Linked DNA regions of Nothobranchius furzeri. The protein of the gene in region 1 purifies or fractionates together with the protein of each later gene. This does not show direct contact. Links are inferred from orthologs where the notes say so. Each region holds a gene or a part of one and is shown on either strand. Other genes may lie near its edges.

Region 1 (3,719 bases):
GTAGAAGGCCTCATTTCCTGTTTTCTTCTGTACTTCCTCCACAGGTGAAGCTGGACTTTGTTGCACCTGCAGTGGGCGTTCACCACTACACCCTGTACTTCATGAGTGATGCGTACATGGGTTGTGACCAGGAGTACAAGTTCAGTGTGGATGTGAAGGAGGCCGACAGCGAGGGAGAAAGTGACTCAGACTAAGTTTTACTGAATACTGTGTTGTCTCCATTTGAGAGGGAATCAATGGGTGTGTTGTAGATATTCAACCTGATTTGTTTCTTTGAATTTAAACTTCTCACTTTTGCCCAAAGTATGTCAGTTTTTTTTAGTGACCCGATTGATGAAACAGTCCAAAATTGGTGTGCAGGATCTGTTTTCCGTATTAAAAATGAAATGCATGTTTTGGATTCAGCTGGATCCACTGACAATACTGCTTTAAATATGGGAAGCATAATTTTGTACTTTTCTTGTCAGGTTTGCTTTTTAAAATAAAAGATGCAACAATTTGGTTTCAGATTATGTCTAAAGTTACATTGCAGATGTAAAATGGTTTTCCCTAGATTAGTAAACATGTTTTTAAGAATCTATTGTCTGGCATGTTCTTTTCTTTTTATTAAAATGAAACCACACAGTCTTGTGTTTTTGTATTTATTCATAAACATGTTTGATTAAGCCATTTTTAAAAAGTGTACAAGATGAGCTGCAGCGGTTTTCCGATCACAAAAATTAAAACGAGATTAATCAAGCCATGAAATAACAGATGTGGTGCCTTAAAGATAAAGTTCCCAGTATGAGATCTAAAACCAAAAGCACTTCGGTGCATTTGTCACTGAATCAGTCTTCTTTGAACCTCCAAATGGCAAGTTCTCCATTGTCGCTGCAGGAGGCAAGAATTCCAGCTTCTTTCGGGTTCCAGGAAGCACAGTTAACGTCCTGGTTGTGAGCTTTGGTTACCTGAGCAACCAGCGAGAATACAGGTTCTTCTGGATTAGAGGTCACGTCCTCTCTGAAAACTCGAACTGCGTCGTCACCGCAGGCAGTTGCCAGGGCGCCAGTCAGCGGACACCTGAACAAATGGTGTTTAAGTCAGTTTGAAGGTAATTCATTCAGATCACTGATAGAAGTTCAGTCTTACCAGGACACATCATACACTGTTCGTCCATGATACCCAGACAGAGTGCAAACACACTTCCAGGACGTGTCACCTTTCAACATACAGAGCAGGTAAAAAAAAGGATTTGTTTGTAAATAAATGGCTTCGGTGTTACTGTTCATAACTACTGACCACTCTCAGAGGGATATTCTTTCCAAATCTTCACAGTGCGATCATCGCTGCAGGACGCCATCCTCTGTCCAGTTGCATCAAAGCACAAACTCCAGACGGTGGAGGTGTGTCCTTCCAAAGTAGCGCGACATTCCCAGTCATCGTCTTCTTCCTTGTAAATACAAATGTTGTTGTCGTAGCTGGCCGAAGCCAGGAGCTGAGGAAACAGACAATAACCTCAAAAATGAGAATGGAGCTACAGATGGAGATAATGTCTACAGATCTGAGTCTACCTCTCGGGTCGGGTGCCACGCTACATGCTTAACATCTTGTGTGTGAGAGTTTAGAACTGTGACACACTCATACTCATCTTCTTCATCCACTGTGGGACAGAGGGAAAACACCTATTAACCAGATCTGATCAAATTGTATTTATTACATGTGTAAATAAACACAAACCTTCCCAGATCCAAACGCTTTTGTCTCGACTGCATGTGGCCAGGAGGTTCCCTGATGGAGCCCACGCCACACATTTGACCTCATTTTCATGTCCCTCCAACACTGTCAAACTCTATAAAGACATTTACAAATGTGTCAAGTTCACGGTTAAATGCTTTTTTAATCACACCACTGAACAACAGAGGTCTCATCTAACCTCAAAACCCTCGTTATTCTTCTTCCAGATGCATGTAGTTGCATCAAAGCTGGCAGAGGCCAAATAATTTCCACATGGAGACCAGGCCACTTTCCTCACGGTGCGCTGGTGTCCATCCTCCAGCACACTCTTACAAACCCAGGAGTCTCCTACGGATAGAGGGGGTCACCGAGGTCAATAGATTAATTATTTTACCAACAGATAACTAATAATCAGAGTGTGTGTGTGTGTGTGTGTGTGTGTGTGTGTAAGAGAGAGAAAGAGATGACAGGCTACCTTCGCGTCCCCAGATCCGGATGGCCTTGTCCCCGCCACACGAAGCCAGCAGAGTCCCGTTTGGGCTCCAAGCGACAAACCAACACCGAGAGTCCGGGTGTGCGCTGAGCCTGTGAAGCAGCGTGAGAGTCTCCTTCATACTGACTTAATGACTATTAAATATTTAGTTAACAGGTCTCGTCACTTTTGTCTTTTCCTTCCCAGAAAAATCCGATAAGAAACTCAAACAAAACCCATCAAAGCAGCAGAGCCACTATCACTATTAACATATTTTGAGAAGATAAGGAATTAACTTGCAATAAAGAGCAAATTAAAGAAGTTCATAGAAACATCCACAACTGACGTGCCGCCATCTTTGCTTATCGGAAGTGCACACTGTGGGCTTCCGTCTTCCTTTAAAAACAAACTTAAATATATTTTTTTTAAATAAACGGAAACAAATTCAGTTGTCGTAATAAAATATATAATTATTCATAAAAAAAGCGAGATTTATGTATAAGATTTAAAGTCTATGGTAAATGCAGAGAAGTTTTCATCGTTGTGTAGTTTTTTTAACCGGTAGGTGGGGCTAGTGATCACAGGTTCTACTGTAGCTACGACGAAACCCGGTGGAAACAGGAAGTCAATGCTTTAGAGGAAACCAGCGTAAGCTGTCTTTTGTTTTGTTTTCTGTTTGTTTTTCTGTAACTAAAACAATATATTTTTATTTATTGTTGTTGTAAAGATTGGGTTCTAGGTTGGCGTTTATATGTTTTTTTTGTATTCGTTTTAATCCTGTCATAAGAATTTATTATATTTGACGTTTACTGCGAATTAGCTAATCGGGCTAACAGTACAGCTAACAGGCCTGAAGGCCATCTGTCTTTTGTTTCCTCGTCAGCCAGATCCTGTTTTTTTATCGAGCAGCTGGTTCTCGTACGGAAGTATTGTATATCTTTCATCTAACAAGTCGCCTGGACCGCTATCATCCTTTAACACTACAGGTAAAATCAGCTGTACCGACTGACAGCTGTGTCAGGCGGCTAATCCCAGTTATAAACCTTAAGGAAAAGGACAGACAAGGGAACCAACACTTCCTACAAAAACAGAGATTTGGTAATCATGTATGCTCCGCCGGGCTCTACCGTACCTGGTGGCCGGAGAAGAAGAACTGCCACCTCCCTGCCCAAGCAGCCGGAGCGCAGCCTGGTGTCAGCGCTGCCCGGAGCTTTGTCCATCACAGCGCTGTGTACGGCTCTGGCTGAGCCGGCCTGGGTGCGTGTTCATGGGGGCGCCTGTCCCAGGCAGGAGCTGGGGGTTGCGGATGTCTTGGGTTACATTGATCCAAAGCTTCTAGATGGTGAGAACCTGCACAATTACTTTACAACCAGCAATTATCGATCATTGTTTTGACTCGTAATGGTTTTTGTTTGTTTTGACGTTTCTGTATCCTCAGATTACTGTGTGAACCCGCAGACCATCCTGCTGTTGAGGGTCATAGCTGCCTTTTGTTTCCTGGGCATCCTATGCAGTCTAACTGCTTTTCTGTTAG
Region 2 (2,941 bases), on another chromosome or scaffold:
CGTGTTCCTATCCGATCATACACCGCTCACATCGTGGAACTTAAGTCGTCTGGTACGACCTCTAGGACATAGATGAGGCTTTTATTTTGACACCACACCGGTGTGTTAGCGACCGAACAAACTCCTAAAACATTTCCTTCTTAGCGCTGCTCTCTTAGCTATAGCTTAATGGCACAAGGCTGGTAATCAGTGGAACTGACAGGATGAAGCTGGCACGGGTATTTGAATAATGTTTATTTAGGGAACAAATATAATTATTGTTGGTTTTCCGAGTTATGTAGGAATTTTTTTGGGTAACTCGTTTTCTTAAGCGTTTCAGAATGGATACACTTTTTTTGGTTTTCAAATACACACCTCGTTTCTGACCTAACATGTAAAACTTACGGTTTACTTTCATTACCAATTTTGAAACGAGTATTTACTTTATGTAATAAGAATGCATAAGTCTTAATGTAAATGTCTGCTTTTCACCAAAGTTAACTCCCAAACTGTACATTAATGAACAATAAACATTCTGATTGTATAATCTGATGTTGCTCTTTAAAACGGATTACACAACACACAGTTGTAGTTAAATGAGGTTTTTATTTTTTAGAGTGTATTTACATCGATCCTTAAATAGAAAATTAATGTGTCTGTTCCTTAGTAACAGGCAGCACACAGACAAGAATTATTTACTAATAATCATAAATCACAGGGTTTATCAGGCACACAGGAGAAGGTCATTTAAAGGACATCACATAAGTCAAACAACTCGTCTCTGAAGAGACAGATGTCCAGATTTACAACACCTGCAAACAAAGACTAATCACCACTTCATGGTGAGCCCGTTGGTCATCTTCTCCACCGTGTGGTACTGCGTGTGCAGCAGCTCTTTCGCACCGTCTTCTCCCAAACTGTTCAGCCAGCTGTGGTACAGGTCAGCCACACGAGGGTCACTTTCTGGCACCAGGGGGCGGTCTGCCCTGTAGAGCTCCTCCACCTTCTGAAGAAGCTCCTTTTGGTTCTGACCAGCTGAGGGTTTCACCTGACCTCCACCGTTTAGACAACCTGGAGGAGAACAAGGGATGATCAGCAAACATCTACAAGAGGCACACCTGCAGCCCATGATGCTCCGGCCTTCGCCTTATAAACTGAGAGGCTGATTATTATAAACAGACACTTTAGACTGTGGTGTTATATCAGGGTATCTGCAGGTTTAAGGGGGCCAAATGTAAGACTTTTTAAGACCTTTTTTAAGGTCACTTTGACCAAATTTAAGCTATTTTAAAAATTAAATTTAAGCAATAATTTCCAGCTATTGCCTGGAACCGGTGCTAACCACGTTGCAAACGTGGGATTAGCCATCATTAAACTTGCACTTCCCCATGGCACAAGCTCCCACTAGCTTAATAAGCTAATGTGCTCATTTAAAAAAAGCCCCATTTCACAGCCAACTGAATGTGTACGGTTCCGCTTACGCCAGCATCATACACAAAAAAAGCTGAACACTAGCTAGAAATTCAAGAAAATTTTATAGAAATAAAAGAATCTTGTTTATTGGGTCTTTGGTAATTTAAGACCTTTCGAAACTTTATATAAGGATTATTTGTCATTTGTAAGGATTTTTAGGGCCTTAAAATTAGAAAAGCAAATTTAAGACTTTTTAAGGACCCGTGGATACCTTGTATATGAAGGTTCAAAGACTAATAATCAACCAATAGTCAAAAAACTAAATGAAAATAACATAAAAGGCTCAGAAAACAGAAAAATATGCCAAAGAGAATATTTCATATTTAAACTTGTTTGCCAAATACCGATCCTTTGTGACATTCTTGTAGCTCTTCCTTTGAGCATTCAGTGATCAGCAAACCCATTACGGATCTTCATCGTTCACTCGGGGTATCCGTTCGCGACGTGGTTAGCACCGGTTCCAGGCAATAGCAGGAAATTATAGCTTAAATTTAATTTTAAATAATTGCTTAAATTTGGTCAAAGTGGCCTTAAAAAGTCTTAAATTTGGCTCCCTTAAACCTGCAGATACCCTGTCACTTTACCTGACGGACAGGCCATGACTTCTACAAAGTGGTAGGGACACTTTCCTCTCTTGAGTTTCTGCACCAGGTTCTGAATGTTGCGGAAACCATAGGTCAAGGCAAAACAGAGGAGGACGTTTCCGTCCTTCTCTAGTCTCACCTCCTGGAAGTCTTTATTCCTGTTTGGTCAAAAAAAAACAAATAAGCTGCAGAAATTCTTACGTTTATTTATCCATACGTCCAGTGAATGTAAACTCACCTGAGCGTTTTATAGGTGAGCTCCTTCACCTCCTCTCCAAACAACTGTTTAGCAGCATGGGTGAACACATGATGGAGGTAACCTCCAGAGCCACTCCCAGCATGGCTCAGAAACTCATCCCCACACACGCTGCTGAACCTGCATGAAATACACAAACATTTTAAACTGCTTACTGTGAAAATGTGTCTAAAAATGAAGCCAAATGGCCCTAAAACTGACATTGTATCCAGAGCTGCAGGCTCAACATCCGAGAGGGACACATTTTCCTCCTCCATCATCCTCTGAACCTCTCCTGATGTGATGACACAGTCCACTTCTCGGGTCTCTGCGTCGCTCATGTAGAAGTCGGAGCGAGAGGCTTCGAGTTTCTTGTCAAAGCAGGGCATCACACACACGTGGTAGATCTGCTGTGGACTCAGGCCCTTATAACACACATAACATATGGATCAGCTGCTGTTTTCATAACAAACACAAACATTTTTATATTAAACCCAAATCCAAATCACACCTGTTGTTTTGCGAAATATCCTTTAACCAGGGAGCCCATCACCTGCTGCGGGGAGCGAGTGGTACTGATGTATGGAAGAATGTAGTCTCCGTGTGTCTTCTCAGCATAGCAGATCCAACCTGAACAACAGAGAGGAGGAGAATCCTGGTTATGATGACG
Region 3 (4,279 bases), about 8.2 Mb from region 1:
AACTTGAGACTGGGGGATCGATATCTGCGGGGAAGGATGGAGATAAAACAGCAGCCATGCTGGTTTGAGAACTAGTTATAATAGAGGAAATTTCAATTTCACTTTAAACAGTTTCAATCAGACACATATTGGATTTACAAAGAAGATGCATAAAATAAAAGCTTCACATATGGAAGGTTTTGTTATTTTCCAACAACAGCAGGTGTCAGAAAGATCATCTGAGAGAAATAATCTAATCATGTCTCCGGTTTAAATGTGGTTACCCATATGGGAGAAAGCCATCAGCAGGGAAATTAAATCACTGGGAACTTCTTAAGTGTAGGTTAAACCACAATTCACTTTGAATTTAAATAAATATATATATATATATATTTAAATAACTGAATATATATATAACCTCAAAATATTGTTCCTGCAGTAACTAGAAAACAGAAATGCTGAATTTGTTCATTTTCTCCTCATCAGACTACATTTTTTGTTTACCTCTCATAAAAAAATGCATTTTGTACCATGCAAAAAACCATCTAAATAGCAGAATAAATAAACCAATAAAAATAAAACAAGCTCAAATTTTAAACAGTTGCGCTTTAATTAACTGGTGAAAAACTGAAATCCATACACATAAAGCAAAGTTCAGACATATTTACAGAAGAAACATTCCTCCTCTCAGTTCAGCATCAGAGATGATCAAGTGGATAAAGATCGAGTGCTTCCCAGGAGGGTCGCCTCTGCTTGTCACGTTCAGTGGCTGATCTGAGGGCTCATCTCCAGCAGCCAGTGGATGGTCTCCTCCAGGAATCTCATGTTGAAATGGGATGCAATGTTCTGAAACATGGAGATCTGCTGGGCGAAGCTCTTTAAAAACAAGAAGAGAAGGGTTGAGTCAAGAGGAATCGATGTCCGATTTCTCTTATTAAGATCGTAGTTTGAGAGGAAACCTTGGATGAGAAGGTCAGGTCAAAGTCGCCGGCACATCTGCAGTAGAGGGGCATGTTTGCTTCCTTCACCCCTTTACATTTGGTGCACACCTAAAAATCCCACAAACCAGGAAGTTACAACCGAAATGATTTGGTCCGGTTAGCTTTCTGGCACGTACTCACCAGGTCTTGCAGCGTGTAGCTCATGAGTTTCTTCTGCAGAGCTTCAACCAGGGCCATCTCAATTGAGTCTGTCTCATACTGGACCTGACAGTTTGAGCAGAACCACTGAGGCAACACAGACCCGTCCTAAAAAACAAAGAAAAAGTGATGATTCCATTTGAATGAACACGACGGTGTTCGTATCAGGCGCTGCTCACCTGTGCCACTGACGGGTCCTTACACAGGTCCAGGTCCCGACAGAAATTGCAGTGGTGGCAGATGACTTCAGGCAGGATGTAGGAGTTGCAGGGATCACGGAACTGAGCTTCGTCTGAAAACTCCCCCACATCCACCAGACGTAGGAGGTCTCGCTTCAGCTTGTTCACCTGATTCACAATGTTGGCATCCAGAGAAAGGACCTGAAATATAAAACACAGAGCTGCTCATAAATGCTGGACTTTAATGTACTGCTGTGCTAATAATAATAATAATAATAATAATAAATACATTATATTAACAAATCTAATAATAATAAAAATATAAACCACAAACAGAAATAGTTAATAAATTATGGAATTCAAAGTACTGATGTGCAAAATTAAATAAACATTTGAATAATTTTAAAAATATATAACTATTTACATGTAAATAAATATCACATTACATTATTATAATTAATAATGTTAATAATATTAAAGAAACAATTATCTCTAACTGAAAACAATTAATAAATAATATAATAATATGCAAATATATAACAATAACATTACTACTACTAATTAAAAAAACTATGAATACATAATATATCATAATTTTATTATATACTATAATAAATCAAAACCGCGGGCAGAAAGGTTAATAAGGGGTGGATTCTGATGAACTGCTGTGCGTCAGGATCGCGTCCGTACCTGGCAAACGTATTTGACGAACTCCAGAGCAGGGTTGTTCAGAGGCAGGTGTGAGCCGGGCAGGACGGGAAACATCTCTGACGTCTGGGTCACGTTCCTGGAGCCCGTCACCTTTTTCTGGATCTTCTGAGTGATGGTGAAAATGTTCTGGGTCAGCTCGCTCGCCACGTACTCCTGAGAGAAGGAAATCATTCCTGGAGAAGAAAGCAATAACAGTAAAACACAACCGAGTCCAACACACATCCTGAATCTCAACTTTGTTTTTTTTTTTAAATTAACTTAATTCTTCTTCCGGCTCTTGGAGAGTTCAGACGCTTTTTTCCTCCTCTTCTCCCTATCATAACCCAAGGCTCTTTGTCTGACTTTGGGTGTACGGCGCTTCTGCATTTTTTCTGGAAACTAGAAATTATTACAATGGGCCTGGTCAGTTGGTCTCAACGTGATTGACAAAAGGAGAGAAGGGGCTCCCGGGTGCCCCTCTGAGACAGAGCCAGCTGGGCATATCATGGACTCCTGGAAACAGCGGAACCTGATCTGCCTCTCTCAACTGTCTGTAGAGGATTCTGAAGACGTCTGGATATTCGTGGTGTTGGTGTCAGGTTTCATGCTGTTTGGCCCGAGCGGTTACCTGGCTTACCGGAAAATTAACGAGCTGTCGAGGCTCAATCCCAGAGCTCAGGGATGGATTACACCGCACAAACTCATAACTGTCTAAATGAGTCGTAAGCTTGGAACTTTGGCTGAGATTCAGACTCTGGCACAGAAGATTGATGCCACCAAGGATAGAGTTGACGGATCAGCACGGATTGGGATAGATTCATTTACGCCATTATTGGATTCAGACGGGTTGGAGATCAACAGAACTTTAAGACAGAGAGGAAATTATCTCTGTCTGGCCCCAAAGCAAGTTCTTATCTGAATCTGGTGCCCTTGAGCCTGTGAGGCTGAAGTGACCCCCCCCCCGAAGAAATGTGTAATGCTGTTGTCGCCATGGTAACTGTCTCCCTATCCCAGCCTGGGCGGGACTGCGACCGGTGAAGGCCATTGAATCGTTCCAGGAGTCACTGTGCTCTCTAACCCAAATACCTCCTTCCCCTGTCCAAACGGAGGTGACGAGCGCTGCTTATCGCGGCTGCATGCACTGATGTGAGGACGGTCCCCAACCCTACCACCCCACCTAGTGGACACTTATGTTGTGTGATGTCTGAAGTCTGTTGCATTTCTGTCTGAGGTGTTTTTTGCCTTGCAAAGCTGCCCTCCCGGTGGAGGGTAACTCTGAAGTGCCTTTTTTCCTCCACCTGACCCAATCCTCATATAAACCCTCTGATCTCTATTAAGGTAGCGCGACTCAGGTTGCGAATGACCACAGTCACCAATTCTTGTCATGTGTCTATGTATGAATGTCTGATCTCAGAATTGTGTGTACTGAAACTCTAATTTCCCTCTGGGATTAATAAAGGATCTTTGAATTGAATTTGAATTAAGAAGCCTCTTAAACTGCCTCTTTACCAGGAAGTGCGCTCAAGTCCCCAACGGCCTGCTGTGAAACCTGGCTGCCTCCGCGCCTCTTGACTGGCGTTGCTCCCGGAGCGTTACGTCTCAGCTCCTCTTTCATGCTGTGGTAAACGGCAGCGATGTAGGCTGCACGGGAGGAGCGGGACGGTAAATAATAACTCAGAAATGAATAAGAATGAATAACTTTTTATTATTTTACCTGAAACAATCATGAGGAAGTATTTCTGACAGGAAGCCGTTTGGGGAAGGTAATGCATGATGTTCCAGCTGCTCTCAATCAGCTCTTCCACCTCATCAGCCTCTCCATCTCCATCATCTTCCTCAGCGTTGTCCTCAGCCTCATCTTCACTCCCGTCCTCGTCTTCCTCTCCTTGTGTGATTTTCTTCTCTTTGGCGTTTTCCTAAAACCATAAAAACGGGAAAGTGTTTAGAGTACTTTAAGTGTTTTAGTTCAAACTCTATAAATAAACATTTTAAATAAACCTGGTTCATATGACACATTTTTATGCTTCCGATCCGTTTTTTTATTCTGCAAACTGAACTTTTAGATTGCGGTACCTCTCCATACAGAACGCTGGAAGGTAGTTTGCCCTTGACGCCGCCGTAGTTAGCTGGATCCATCCACAACAGGAAGTCCCAGCATCGGGAGAAGGAGATGGACAGGGAGTGGAAGATCTCCCTGGAATGTATGCTAGAAAGGAAACACAGGCGGGTGATTGATGAAAATGGATCAAACGCTTTGTGTCTAGCGTCCTTTCGATTTAAACTGGCCCCAGA

Evidence for each region. Proteins that work in one complex are often made in the same cells at the same time.
Region 2: the proteins of ciao1 (region 1) and narfl purify together in Homo sapiens (affinity purification with western blotting; 3 studies listed by BioGRID and IntAct, with this or other methods). This does not show direct contact. The link is inferred for Nothobranchius furzeri from reciprocal best matches to the Homo sapiens genes CIAO1 and CIAO3.
Region 3: the proteins of ciao1 (region 1) and pole purify together in Homo sapiens (affinity purification with western blotting; 3 studies listed by BioGRID, with this or other methods). This does not show direct contact. The link is inferred for Nothobranchius furzeri from reciprocal best matches to the Homo sapiens genes CIAO1 and POLE.

Annotation. Positions count from the first base shown.
Region 1 is NC_091757.1:37,107,811-37,111,529, forward strand, and holds ciao1 (probable cytosolic iron-sulfur protein assembly protein ciao1), read right to left. Parts: upstream 2,565-3,719; 5' UTR 2,328-2,564; coding exon 2,189-2,327; intron 2,062-2,188; coding exon 1,913-2,061; intron 1,829-1,912; coding exon 1,717-1,828; intron 1,640-1,716; coding exon 1,551-1,639; intron 1,475-1,550; coding exon 1,279-1,474; intron 1,199-1,278; coding exon 1,129-1,198; intron 1,060-1,128; coding exon 828-1,059; 3' UTR 628-827; downstream 1-627. Other genes in the region: snrnp200 (U5 small nuclear ribonucleoprotein 200 kDa helicase), read left to right, coding at 45-194; tmem127 (transmembrane protein 127), read left to right, coding at 3,290-3,527, 3,624-3,719. UniProt on the Homo sapiens protein: Key component of the cytosolic iron-sulfur protein assembly (CIA) complex, a multiprotein complex that mediates the incorporation of iron-sulfur cluster into extramitochondrial Fe/S proteins.
Region 2 is NC_091752.1:55,720,515-55,723,455, forward strand, and holds the end of narfl (cytosolic Fe-S cluster assembly factor narfl), read right to left. Parts: intron 2,902-2,941; coding exon 2,783-2,901; intron 2,697-2,782; coding exon 2,494-2,696; intron 2,413-2,493; coding exon 2,275-2,412; intron 2,195-2,274; coding exon 2,037-2,194; intron 1,051-2,036; coding exon 809-1,050; 3' UTR 566-808; downstream 1-565.
Region 3 is NC_091757.1:45,283,398-45,287,676, forward strand, and holds the end of pole (DNA polymerase epsilon catalytic subunit A), read right to left. Parts: intron 4,194-4,279; coding exon 4,061-4,193; intron 3,904-4,060; coding exon 3,702-3,903; intron 3,629-3,701; coding exon 3,497-3,628; intron 2,182-3,496; coding exon 1,988-2,181; intron 1,499-1,987; coding exon 1,298-1,498; intron 1,227-1,297; coding exon 1,101-1,226; intron 1,029-1,100; coding exon 939-1,028; intron 856-938; coding exon 742-855; 3' UTR 566-741; downstream 1-565. UniProt on the Homo sapiens protein: Catalytic component of the DNA polymerase epsilon complex. Participates in chromosomal DNA replication.